Caenorhabditis elegans: one gene and its partner. The protein of the gene in region 2 interacts with the protein of the main gene of each other region in a biochemical or structural test. Each region holds a gene or a part of one and is shown on either strand. Other genes may lie near its edges. The genes, in order: egl-4 and hpl-2.

Region 1 (4,906 bases), on a different chromosome or scaffold from region 2:
AATAAAAAAAAATGAAGTAAAACTTTTTTTTTTGGGCATAAAAAAATGAAACTGGCTTGTAAAAAATGAGAAAAACGGCCCGACGACGGGAGGAAAATCCTATTAGCGTCGGTCGTCCCTATCGGCATGGGCTCACCCGTTTTTTGTGCAATGCACAATTGCACAAGAGCACGTACACTTGTGCATAAGGAAGAGTTCACCAGGAAGAAAATACCATTGAGAAAATTGATAAGAAGAACTATCGAATTTTTTTCTGATCAATTGTTCAATTTTCAGAAATTTTGTGTGCCAAAATTTCGAAAAATTGAATTTTTGCGAATTTCGACTCTGAAAAATCGTAAATCGATCAATTTTCCAGGTGAGACGTGGTCTGGGAAGCTGGAATTTTTTGACACCACGAGCACGTGAAAAACCGAGGAACAAATCGGTATGGTCCAGACTTTCCCATAACGGTTTGACCTACAAAAATGCGGGATTTTTTGGCCTAAAAAATGTGACGTCCGCATGTTCTTAGCCATGCAAAATAAGTTGAAAAGTCTGCGTCCAATTTCCCGCGCATTCTGGTAGATCAACGTAGATCAAACCGACATGGGACACACCTGGCACCACGTGATGGTCGAGTTTTCACTGTTCGGAAATCTTTGAGCTATGGGAAAAAGTAACAATTTATAGGAAGATTGGGTCAAATCTCATCCTTTTTCTGCCAAAATATCGGAAAAATTGAATTTCTGCGATCTTTAACAGGAAAAAAATGGCAATTTAGATGTATTTTCTATTCAGAAAGCTCAAATTTTTCTAGACTTTTCACCGGGAAGCAGGTGTAAACCGAAAAGCAAAAGAAATTGTTCGGTTATTCTATAAACTCCGTGAAGTGGCCGAGATTTTTCGGCTCGTGGCCGCCGCCTTTTTCTGCCAAAATTTCGAATTTTTGCGAATTTTGGCATTTTTAGTAATGGCCGAGTTTTCACTGTTTCGAAAGCTTTGAGCTGTGGGGAACAACATGACGTCAGTTCGGCCGATAGGGATTGATAAGAGAATTACTTTTTTTTTTTCATAAAAAAATATATCAATTTTCAGATCAATCGATCAATTTGCAGTTATTTTTTTGTCGGAAAATAGAAAAATCTACGTGGATTTAGTAGCAAACACGCTCCAATGAGAAAAAATGCCTAACTTTCTCAGTGGGGCGCGTATGCGGTGAAGGCGAAATTCGAATTTTCAGATGAGAATCGATTTTCTTCCGTGATTCTGGGCGAAATTTCGAGGAAAAATCCATTATTAGACTATTGAAATTGTCAATTTTAAAAACTGAAAAGCCATCGGAAATCCAAGCTTTCGCCTAAAAATTTCAGATTTTCGGTAATCCTGATGTCTTGCTCAAATGTCGATGATTTTTCTAATTTTAGAGCTGAACTTCTGAAATTTCTACCGTAATCTGGGATTTAGCCCCCACTAGGTCGCATTTTAAGGCGAAAAAATGCCAATCAAATTCCAATTCTCCAAGTTTTCGGTCCGCCAAAAACTCACATAAATCCTGGGTGGCTGCTGCTTCATCATCTTTTCATACTCAGACACTTCCACACATTTCAGCACGGAATATAGGACTAGAAATACGGAAAACTCTTCACCACCAGGTCTGCTATCACCAGGCTCAATTTGTTGTGATAAGAGGAATTTCGTCAAGTCGACATGAACATGATCATTACGCGACCCCCATGGAGCCATCAAACAACAGTTGGTGTCGTATTGCAGGCGTCCTGTGGAGAGAGCCGAGCAGCAGAATTGGCGGAGAGCTCCGGAGCGGGAAATTGGAAAAATATGTGTTGAAAAACTCGGAACAACCAGCAGAATAGTCGGAAGAGTCTAGGCAATAATTCGGAAGAATTTTCCATTTGGAGCACCAAAAACCCCGGAAAAACCGCAGAAAATCCAGAAAATCGACAATCGGCTCCTCCGTAAATCCACACAAAGTGACAATGATCTCTGGTCACGAAAATCTAGAAGTTCAGACAAAATCTAGCAAAAATCCGAGGATTTCAACCGGAAATGTGTAAAAAATGTCAAAGTTGATACCATTTCTGTGCACAAAAAACCTGAAAATTTTGAAAATCTGGCTGAAATTGGTGAAAATCACCAAAAGTTTCGCCCGTAAGTCGACATAGGCATCAGTAAATCTACACAGATTTTTGAAATTTTCAATTTAGAAAACTGCATTTATGGTATAAACTCAAATCAAATGTTGAGTTCGCCAAATTGAAAAAAAACTCTCGTAAATCGACACAGGCCCCCGTAAATATACACGGAGCTGCGGAAAACACCAAATAATCCTGGAAAGATTTTGCAAAATTGAAGGATTTCATTCCAAAACTAGTCGAATTTCAGTAAAATTTCGGAAAATGTTATCCCGTAAATCGACACTGAACCCCTGTAAATCGACATTAAAGCCTCGTAAATCGACATTACAGCCCTCGTAAATCGACACTGAACTCCCGTAAATCGACATTACAGTCTCGTAAATCGACACCGAACCCCCGTAAATCGACATTACAGCCCTCGTAAATCGACACTGAACTCCCGTAAATCGACATTACAGTCTCGTAAATCGACACTGAACCCCCGTAAATCGACATTACAGTCTCGTAAATCGACACTGAACCCCCGTAAATCGACATTACAGTCTCGTAAATCGACACTGAACCCCCGTAAATCCACATTACAGTCTTGTAAATCGACACTGAACCCCCGTAAATCGACATTACAGTCTCGTAAATCGACACTGAACCCCCGTAAATCCACATAGGTCTTTACAAAGTCCTGAGCACATTATGACCGAATAACTCGGGATTTTTAGGCCAAATTTATCAAAATTATATCATTTTTGCCCATTTTCCCGCATATTTTCCCCCAAAATCCCCGTAAATCTACACAAAGGTAAATTTTAATCATTTTTCAGCGATTTTTCCTGCAAAAAAACCTCCCACAAAACTCTAACCTGATTCCCATTCGGCTGATCAGACGGCTTACGAAGTTTGGAGAAGAATCCACGGATTCCACCTCCACCACCACCTGGAGCACCACCACCGGCTCCACCACTGGCTCCTCCGCCACCACCACCACCGCCGCTCGACGGACGGCTCCCAGAGCTCATTTCCAGTTGATTTTCCGCTGGTCGCTTTATTGTTTTATCGATTAATTTTCGGATTGTGAGTGGATGTGGTGGATGGCGGGCGTCGGAGGTATCACCTTTTGATCTGTAAAAGTATTTATTTATTGATTTTTTTGAGCGGAGCGGGGAGGAAAAAACGGAAAAAAATGCGGAAAAGTGAGAGAGAAATCGAGAGGAAATTCAAATTTTCAGCGAAAAAATGCAGTTTTTTCGATAAATTTCCGAAAATGTTCACACGAAATTTGAGTTTTTGCGAAAAAAACATCATTTTTGAAGAAAATTCGGCAATTTTTGCTCAAATTTTCAGAAAAAAAAGGAATTTTCTGCGCATGTTTACGTGGAATTTTTTAAAAAATTCGGTGCATTTTTTTTTGAGAAAACCACTAATTTTCAGGGAATTATATCAGAAAAATCTAAGACAACTCAATTTTCAGCGGAAAAAATGTCGTTTTTCTCTATATTTTTACACGAAATTCGAGAATTTTTGTGATTTTTCCGAACAAATATTTTCCACAAAATGCAAAAAATTCGTCATTTTTTAACCACCAAATTTACAGGAAAAAATTGGAAAAACGGGGCATTTTTTGAGTAAACCACAAATTTTCCGGGAATTTTATGAAAAAAAATCTAAGAAAAGCCAATTTTCAGGAGAAACCTCGTGCAAAATTTCAAGAAAAACCGACTTTCACCGAAAAAGCAAATTTTTCACAAGAAATTCGATTTTTAAATCAAAATCCTGACAAAATATACAAAATTGCCGATTTTTCAGCTTAATCCAAGTGGATTGTGGTTTTTCACGCAATTTTTCAGAAAAAAAACGCGAAATTCTCAGATTTTGCGGGTAGTTTTCACAGAAAAACCGACTTTTAGAGGAGAAAATTTGAAAAAAAATGTAAAAAAAAGAAAAAATCCAATCGAAATCCATCCGTCTCCGCCACATCTTCATCAGCATCTCCCTGCAAAATTAAATAATAAATAAACAGAATTTTCTACGATAAAAATTCTTTAAAAAAAAAAGAAAAATTGCAATTTCACGACGAAGACACTCACCCGCATTTTGACGACCCGCGTATTTCAAAGAATCGCCGAGTCGAATTGGAGCATGTCGCCGGCTCTCAACGCATGTTTCAGGTCTGCAAATTGGCACAGGAAATTGCATTGAATTCGAAGAAAAGAAAAGAGGGGAGTGTTGTAGAAACTCACATGAAAGACGCTTTTTTCGTCCGGGGCCGAGCAGTTCGACGAGCTTTTGCGCGAAAATCTTCACATTTTGCTCGCCGCTATTGTATTTCTTGATAATTTCGCGAAAATGTGGAACTTCTTCGGGGCGGAGACAAGAGAGAACCTGAAAAAAAAGGAAAAAATGATGAGAAAATTGATAAATTTCGATTTAAATTTCATTAAACTCGCGTGTGACGAAAGTACGCAAACACGGATGGAGAAAAATGCGGATCGAGCGCAGAATCTTACGACATGTGTGAAAATAATATATTTTTAAACTCTCATTTTCAGGCAAAAACTCCATGAATTCCAACAATAAAACTGAATTTTAGGAGAAAAATTGAGAAATAAAATTAAAATAAAATTAAATATTTTGCAACAGAAAAATTATGTGAAAATTGATTTTTACCGGTTTTTGACGGCAAAAGTCGAATATTTCAAATTTTCAGCGAAAAAAAGCCAAAAAGGGAGATTTTTAGAACACAATTTTTGTAAAAAATGCTATAAAACCACAAGCTT
Region 2 (6,014 bases):
ATTTTGGAAAATCCCAATAAACTTTGAAATTCAGACCAAACAACTAGACGCCTCAACACGACGTGCTGATAATTCATCGGATGATTCTGACGACTCTGACGACAATCAGGATATCGCAGTAGCAACTCACTCGTTCGCCGCTTCAGGAGATGCCGGTCCATCTGGACCACGTGATCAAGGTGCCACTGCAACACTCGAAGTGGACACAGACTATTCACACGATGCCCAGGCTCAATTCGAACGAGTCCAACAGCAACTGAAGGAAGGCGTCGAGAAAGACGGAAAAATTCTGTACAAGGGAAGTGCACTGTATGGAGCCAAAGAGGCGAAGGATACGGCCAAGGGAAACGCTGCAAGTGGTTATAATCGAGTTGGGCCCGTTCGGGCGCCACAATTTCTACGACAAACAGTCCGTTGGGATTTTGCACCGGATATTTGCAAGGATTACAAGGAGACTGGATTCTGTACGTTTGGAGATTCGTGTAAATTTGTGCACGACCGATCGGACTATAAACACGGATGGGAGATTGATGAGGAGTACGAAGCAGGAAAATATGGTGCTGAAGACGATGCGAATTACGAGATTCATGAAGGCGACGATACGTTTCCGGAGGATTGTTTTATTTGCGGAAATCCATTTGTTGATCCGATCGTGACAAAATGCAAGCACTACTTTTGCACCGGTTGTGCGTTGAAATCGTTCCAAAAGTCGTCAAAATGCCCAATATGTCAGCAGAATACTGAGAATATTATGAATACCGCAAAAGGTTTGAAATAGAACGATTAATTCGTGATTTTCGCAAGTTTTGGAAGGTTTTTCGGCGCAGTTTGATACTTACATGTTACGGAGGATACTGCACGTGGACAAGCGTGAATCTTTTTTCACATTTTTTGGACAATAATAAGACATTATAACTAGAAAGAGAGGAGGAGCCTAATTTCGCAACTCTGCGGCACGATTTTTCGACAATTTTCCACTGTTTTTTTTTTTGGTTTTTTTTCTGGTTTTTTTTTCCAAAAAACTTCGATTCTTCCTGTTTTATTTTTTTTTACGAGAAAAAAATCAAATTTAATTCGCATAACATTTCGATTATAGTTCATATTTTTACAACCAATTTAGCTTGAAATATCCTCCCAATCTAATGTGAATTAAAAGGAATAAAATCGAAACTTTTATGGAAAAACCCCAAAAAAGAAAAAGGAAAACCGTGCCGCATGGTTGCAAAATTGGTTGCAAAATTACGTTCCGCCTCTTTTTCTGCTTTTTGGAAAACTCATTTCTTTGGTAATTTGGAATGTTGGAAGAGAATCAGCGAAAATAGTTCAAAAAAGTAAATTTCAGCCAATAACTCACAGTTGTCCGGGTGAAGTACAAAATCCTTCGTAAATTTACATGCAACAAACCGCGCTTTTAATCCAAAACTTGCGAAATTCACAAGATAGTAGCTCGAAAAATGTGGCAAAAAAAAATTAATTTTTAAATTTTCAGAGCTCCTAACCTACCTGAAACGGAAGAAGCAACAACAGAAGCAAGAAGCCGAGAAACAGGAAGAAGAAAAAGATAGTGACGATGATGAAAAACCACACGAATGCGACGATCACCATCATCATGATCACGAAGATGAGCCCGAGGAGCCTGAAAACGACTCAAATGTTCCAGAAGCCGAGGAGAAGAGCGATGAGGAACAGGAGATTATGATGGAGGATGTGGAAGGGCTTGAAGGTGGAGAAAATGACTCTGAGAGTGATGATGATGATGCTGAAAAAGATTGATAATTTTTATTTTTTTTTTAAATATTTCTGTACGGTGATTGTCTGTGAGTAAACTAAATATGATTTTTTTTCTTGTTCGAGCCTTTTTTTAATTTCAAGATATTGTTCGAATCTTTATTCCATATTTTTTCTATGTTTTTTCAGATTTCTCCCATTTTAGCTCAAATTTATTTCAGCAATTTCAAAAATGTCGAGCAAATCAACAAAGCGAGCAAAAATCGAAGATCCGGTATGGAACGGCGAAAAAACCAAAAAATCTATTTTTACAACAAAAAAAACTAAAAAATACAATTTTGCAACGAAAAAAAACCAAAAAACAGTCCATTTTGCAAAAAAACAATAAATCAATTTTTGCACTAAAAAAAATATTTTAAAAAAACAATTTTGCAACAAAAAATCTATTTTTGCATAAAAAATCCAATTTTGCTAGAAACAAAGCGACAGTATAAGTTCCCCGACAAAGAAAAAAAAAGTCACATTTTATTCAAAAATCTGATTTCCAGAAGGACAACGTGTTCATGGTGGAAAAAGTGCTGGACAAGCGAACTGGAAAAGCCGGCAGAGACGAATTTCTCATACAGTGGCAAGGATTCCCCGAGTCTGACTCTAGCTGGGAGCCGAGAGAGAATCTCCAGTGCGTCGAGATGTTGGACGAGTTTGAGAGGGAATTTTCAAAGGTTTTGAAGAATTTTTTAAAGTTTATTTTACTTGAAATGGTCCTAAAAAGCGAATTTCATAGTGAAAATTGTTTGAAAAATCTTCGATTTTGCCCACTTTTCCGTGCTGCAACTGTTTAAATTAGATTTTTGTTCGATTATTCTCCTATTTTCACACGGAAAAGCTGGTAAACTTGAAGATTTTAACTAAAATTAGGTTTTTTAGAGTTAAAATTACAAAGTCATAAAATCCGATTTTTCTGCAACAAACTTATTTTATTTTTACAGAGAGAGAAACCAATTCGCAAACGACACAGCCAGAAGCCCGAACCTTCCGAAGATCAAGCGGATCCAGAAGAGGATAAAGATGAAAAGAAGGAAACGAATCAAAATGACAAATTCTCACTGGAAGGCAAGCAGTTAAAATGCATTGTCGGGCTCACCAAGGGACCTGGGGAACTTCATTTTCTGTGCAAATTCAGTGATGACACGGCACGGCTTCTTCCAGCGAAGGAGGTGAACAGTCGGTGAGTTTGGGAATTGCTCCCGGTTGATTAAAAGTGTATTACGGAAACACTCCACCCAAAAACTTTAAAAGTATCCGAAAAAAAATATTACGGGAACACAAAATTCTGAGAATGCGTATTGCGCAACATATTTGACGCGCAAAATATCTCGTAGCGAAAACTACAGTCATTCTTTAAATGACTACTGTAGTGTCGATTTACGGGCTCGAGTTTTGAAATGGATTTTTGTTCAAATAGTGGCATTTTTGCTTAATTTTAATATTCTATCGGTAAATCAAAAAAATATGATTTCGAAAATAGAGCCCGTAAATCGACACAGGCACTACAGAATTTACTGTATTTACTGTACTGTAGTTTTCGCTACGAGATATTTTGCGCGATACGCATTTTCAGAATCTTGTGGTCTCGTGATACGCGTCGATGGGGATTTCACTCTAAAATATGCCGGCTGTACTGCACATAAGTGCCGAAATACCGAAATACCACGAAAAATATGAAAAATTGGACTTTTTCACTAAGAAATTCGAGGAAAAACGGAACAATTGCGTTTAAATTGATAAAAACCATGGCGCGGTAATTCAAACATTCAAAATTTTTCTGACTATTCTGCGTATTTAAAACTGAAATCCCGATCGGCGCTAGAGTTTTTAGCTAGGAAGCGAACCTCAATTTGGCATTTAAAAAAGCTCTAAATTTCAGCTATCCGAGCCAAGTTATCAGATACTACGAATCCAAGCTAACAATCCAAGACCCAAAAGCCGACGAGCTTTAATCACTCCCCACCCCGATACACGTGTTCAATATCATGTTCTCTCATCTCATTCCCATATTCTTTTTGAATTATCTTGTAAAATCTATACCAATTTTTGTGCTAACCCCTGAAATCGAGACTAAATATTATTGAATCAATAAAAATTTCTTGAGACACATTACATTCGACATTCTATTTTCCATACAGATACCGCCCGTTCGTCGACGCTTACGGCGAATTTCTGAAGAAAAAGATGGAGAGACGACACAAACGGATTTCCGAGGGAAAGAAGAAGCGTTCGATTGAGGAAGATGATGCAGATGATGAGTGGCCTGAAATGCCACCGGGACATCGAATTCTTGTGAGAAAATTTGAAGTTTTAGAAGGAGAAAATTTTGAGAAAAATGAAAAAAAAAAGTTTTCTCTGAAATGTTTCCAAAAAACAGTCTCTACACAAGGTCCAAAATTTGAACACCTCTCGAAAAATGTTTTTTTTAATTAAAAAAAATTTTTTTTTGGGAAAACATTTTTTTTGAGAAATTTTTTTAAAACTATACTGTTTTTAAATCTTTGAGAAAAAACTAATTTTTTGCGAATTTTGAATTCTTTTAGGTATTCTTCTTAAGGAAAAAGTAGTTTAGAAACTTTTTTTGGAACAAAATTATGTATTTTTAATTTTAGAATAAAAAACAATTTTTGAAATTTTTTTCAAAATTTTTATTTTAATTCCAGACAACCGAAGAACACGAGCTGCAACGTAGGAAGGAATCGAAAATATCGCAGGACGTTGAGATGACTGAAGCGGTAGGGGTCTTACCACGAACGAAATATTTTTTGAGGCCGCGCCTTTAAGAACTACAGAACACTATGTATCGATTTTTCAAAGAAAAAGGAAAACATAGATTTGTAAAAGAGATTCCTGAAATTCGTTTAAAAATCGATCTCTAGTAAATAAAAAAATGTCAGAAATTGTAAATTTCGGGATTTTTTCGCCAAAAAAATAGCCTTCCTCATGTGGTGTCAGAAAGTCTCATTGCAGTTTGATCTACAAAAAATGCGGGAATTGTTTCCCAGAAAAAATGTGACGTCAGAACGCTCTTAACCATGCAAAATCAGATAAGATGTCTGCGTCTCTTCTCCCGCATTTTTCGTAGATCAAAGCGAAAAGGGACTGTATGACTCCACGTGCTTCCTTAAACCATTCTTCAGTTTCAGCAAACCGCGGCCGATATGCTCAATGATATGCACATGGCGGCCAATGGAGATCTGCTTTCCAGCTTCCCACAAGATTTCCTTGAAGACTCTGGCGATGGAGAAGTTCACGAGGCGGCCATCCTCTCCGTTTTCGATGACAATTCGAATAGCCCGCCACCGTGTCCGATCGTTGTCGACACTGTACCAGACGATGATGACAGTCTCTTGTTCCCAAGAAACTCATAAATTATTTGATCTCCGCTGTTTCTTTTTTTTTTCGAAAATCCGATTTATATAAAGTTTGAACATTATCTTTATATAATGGATAGTACAACAAAAATCTCTTTAGAAATATATATAAAAAATATGTTAGAAACACTGAGAAGCTCATGGTGCATCGACAAATTTTCTGCATTTGCAGAAAATCCCACAAAAATGAAGAACATCGAGAACAAAACTCATGGTGCATCGACTAACAAATTTTTCGGCCAAAAAAATCTGATAAAATATGATGGCAAACAGACTTCCTAGAAACACCTGAATTTCGCCCGTAAAAAATGAGTGCGCCTTTAAGAGCTACAGTAACCCACTAAATCATTAAACTGAAAGTTCCTTGATGTCGAAAGAGAAACAAAATTTGACAAAAAAAAATTTATTGTCAGAGAAAAGTAATAGAAGTGAAATTGTGTGGGGAAATAAATACGGACGGGGAGTTTGAAAAAAGAATGGGACTATACGAGGTCATAAATAATACAATTGTGGGGAACGATGAGCATAGAAAAGGGGAAATGGGGCTCCATAAAAAAAATGAAGGACCTAAAAACGGGGGAAAATCACGAGAGGCGGTCGGGGGCTCAGAAGAACTTCAATCGTGTGGCTTGTCCACAGTGACGAACGCTTCCAGCGCTGCTTGTTTCGATGTCGACTCCTTCTTCTTCTTCTTAATCAAGGACGGTGGGAGCGACGTATTTTCCGGGGTGCCTGGCATTGGCGATTGCTTCTGAAAATTTGAAATTTTAGATAAAAACATCATGAGATTTAAGCTAACCGGAGTCTGGAGCTTCTCCTTGGTGGCCTTTTCGGTGACTGGAAGCATCTGAGCTTGTTGGAGCA

Evidence for each region.
Region 1: of the proteins of hpl-2 (region 2) and egl-4, one has a biochemical effect on the other in vitro, tested with the Caenorhabditis elegans proteins (one study listed by BioGRID).

The regions. Positions count from the first base shown.
Region 1 is NC_003282.8:1,846,313-1,851,218, reverse strand, and holds the start of egl-4 (cGMP-dependent protein kinase), read right to left. Parts: upstream 3,149-4,906; coding exon 2,993-3,148; intron 1,555-2,992; coding exon of another isoform or gene 1,528-1,554; intron 1-1,527. Other genes in the region: ccm-2 (CCM (Cerebral Cavernous Malformation) gene homolog), read right to left, coding at 4,241-4,299, 4,370-4,511. UniProt on the Caenorhabditis elegans protein: Promotes chemoreceptor gene expression in response to increased cGMP levels by antagonizing the gene repression functions of the class II HDAC hda-4 and the mef-2 transcription factor.
Region 2 is NC_003281.10:10,751,457-10,757,470, reverse strand, and holds hpl-2 (Chromobox protein homolog hpl-2), read left to right. Parts: upstream 1-1,949; 5' UTR 1,950-1,960; coding exon 1,961-2,002; intron 2,003-2,276; coding exon 2,277-2,450; intron 2,451-2,717; coding exon 2,718-2,956; intron 2,957-3,655; coding exon of another isoform or gene 3,656-3,728; exon of another isoform or gene 3,729-3,880; intron 3,881-3,914; coding exon 3,915-4,068; intron 4,069-4,439; coding exon 4,440-4,511; intron 4,512-4,916; coding exon 4,917-5,147; 3' UTR 5,148-5,217; downstream 5,218-6,014. Other genes in the region: rnf-113 (putative E3 ubiquitin-protein ligase rnf113), read left to right, coding at 35-767, 1,490-1,773; enu-3.6 (ENhancer of Uncoordination), read right to left, coding at 5,767-5,901, 5,950-6,014. UniProt on the Caenorhabditis elegans protein: Seems to be involved in transcriptional silencing in heterochromatin-like complexes. Probably does not act as global transcriptional repressor, instead targeting a subset of genes. Involved in RNA processing mediated by Tar DNA-binding protein homolog tdp-1.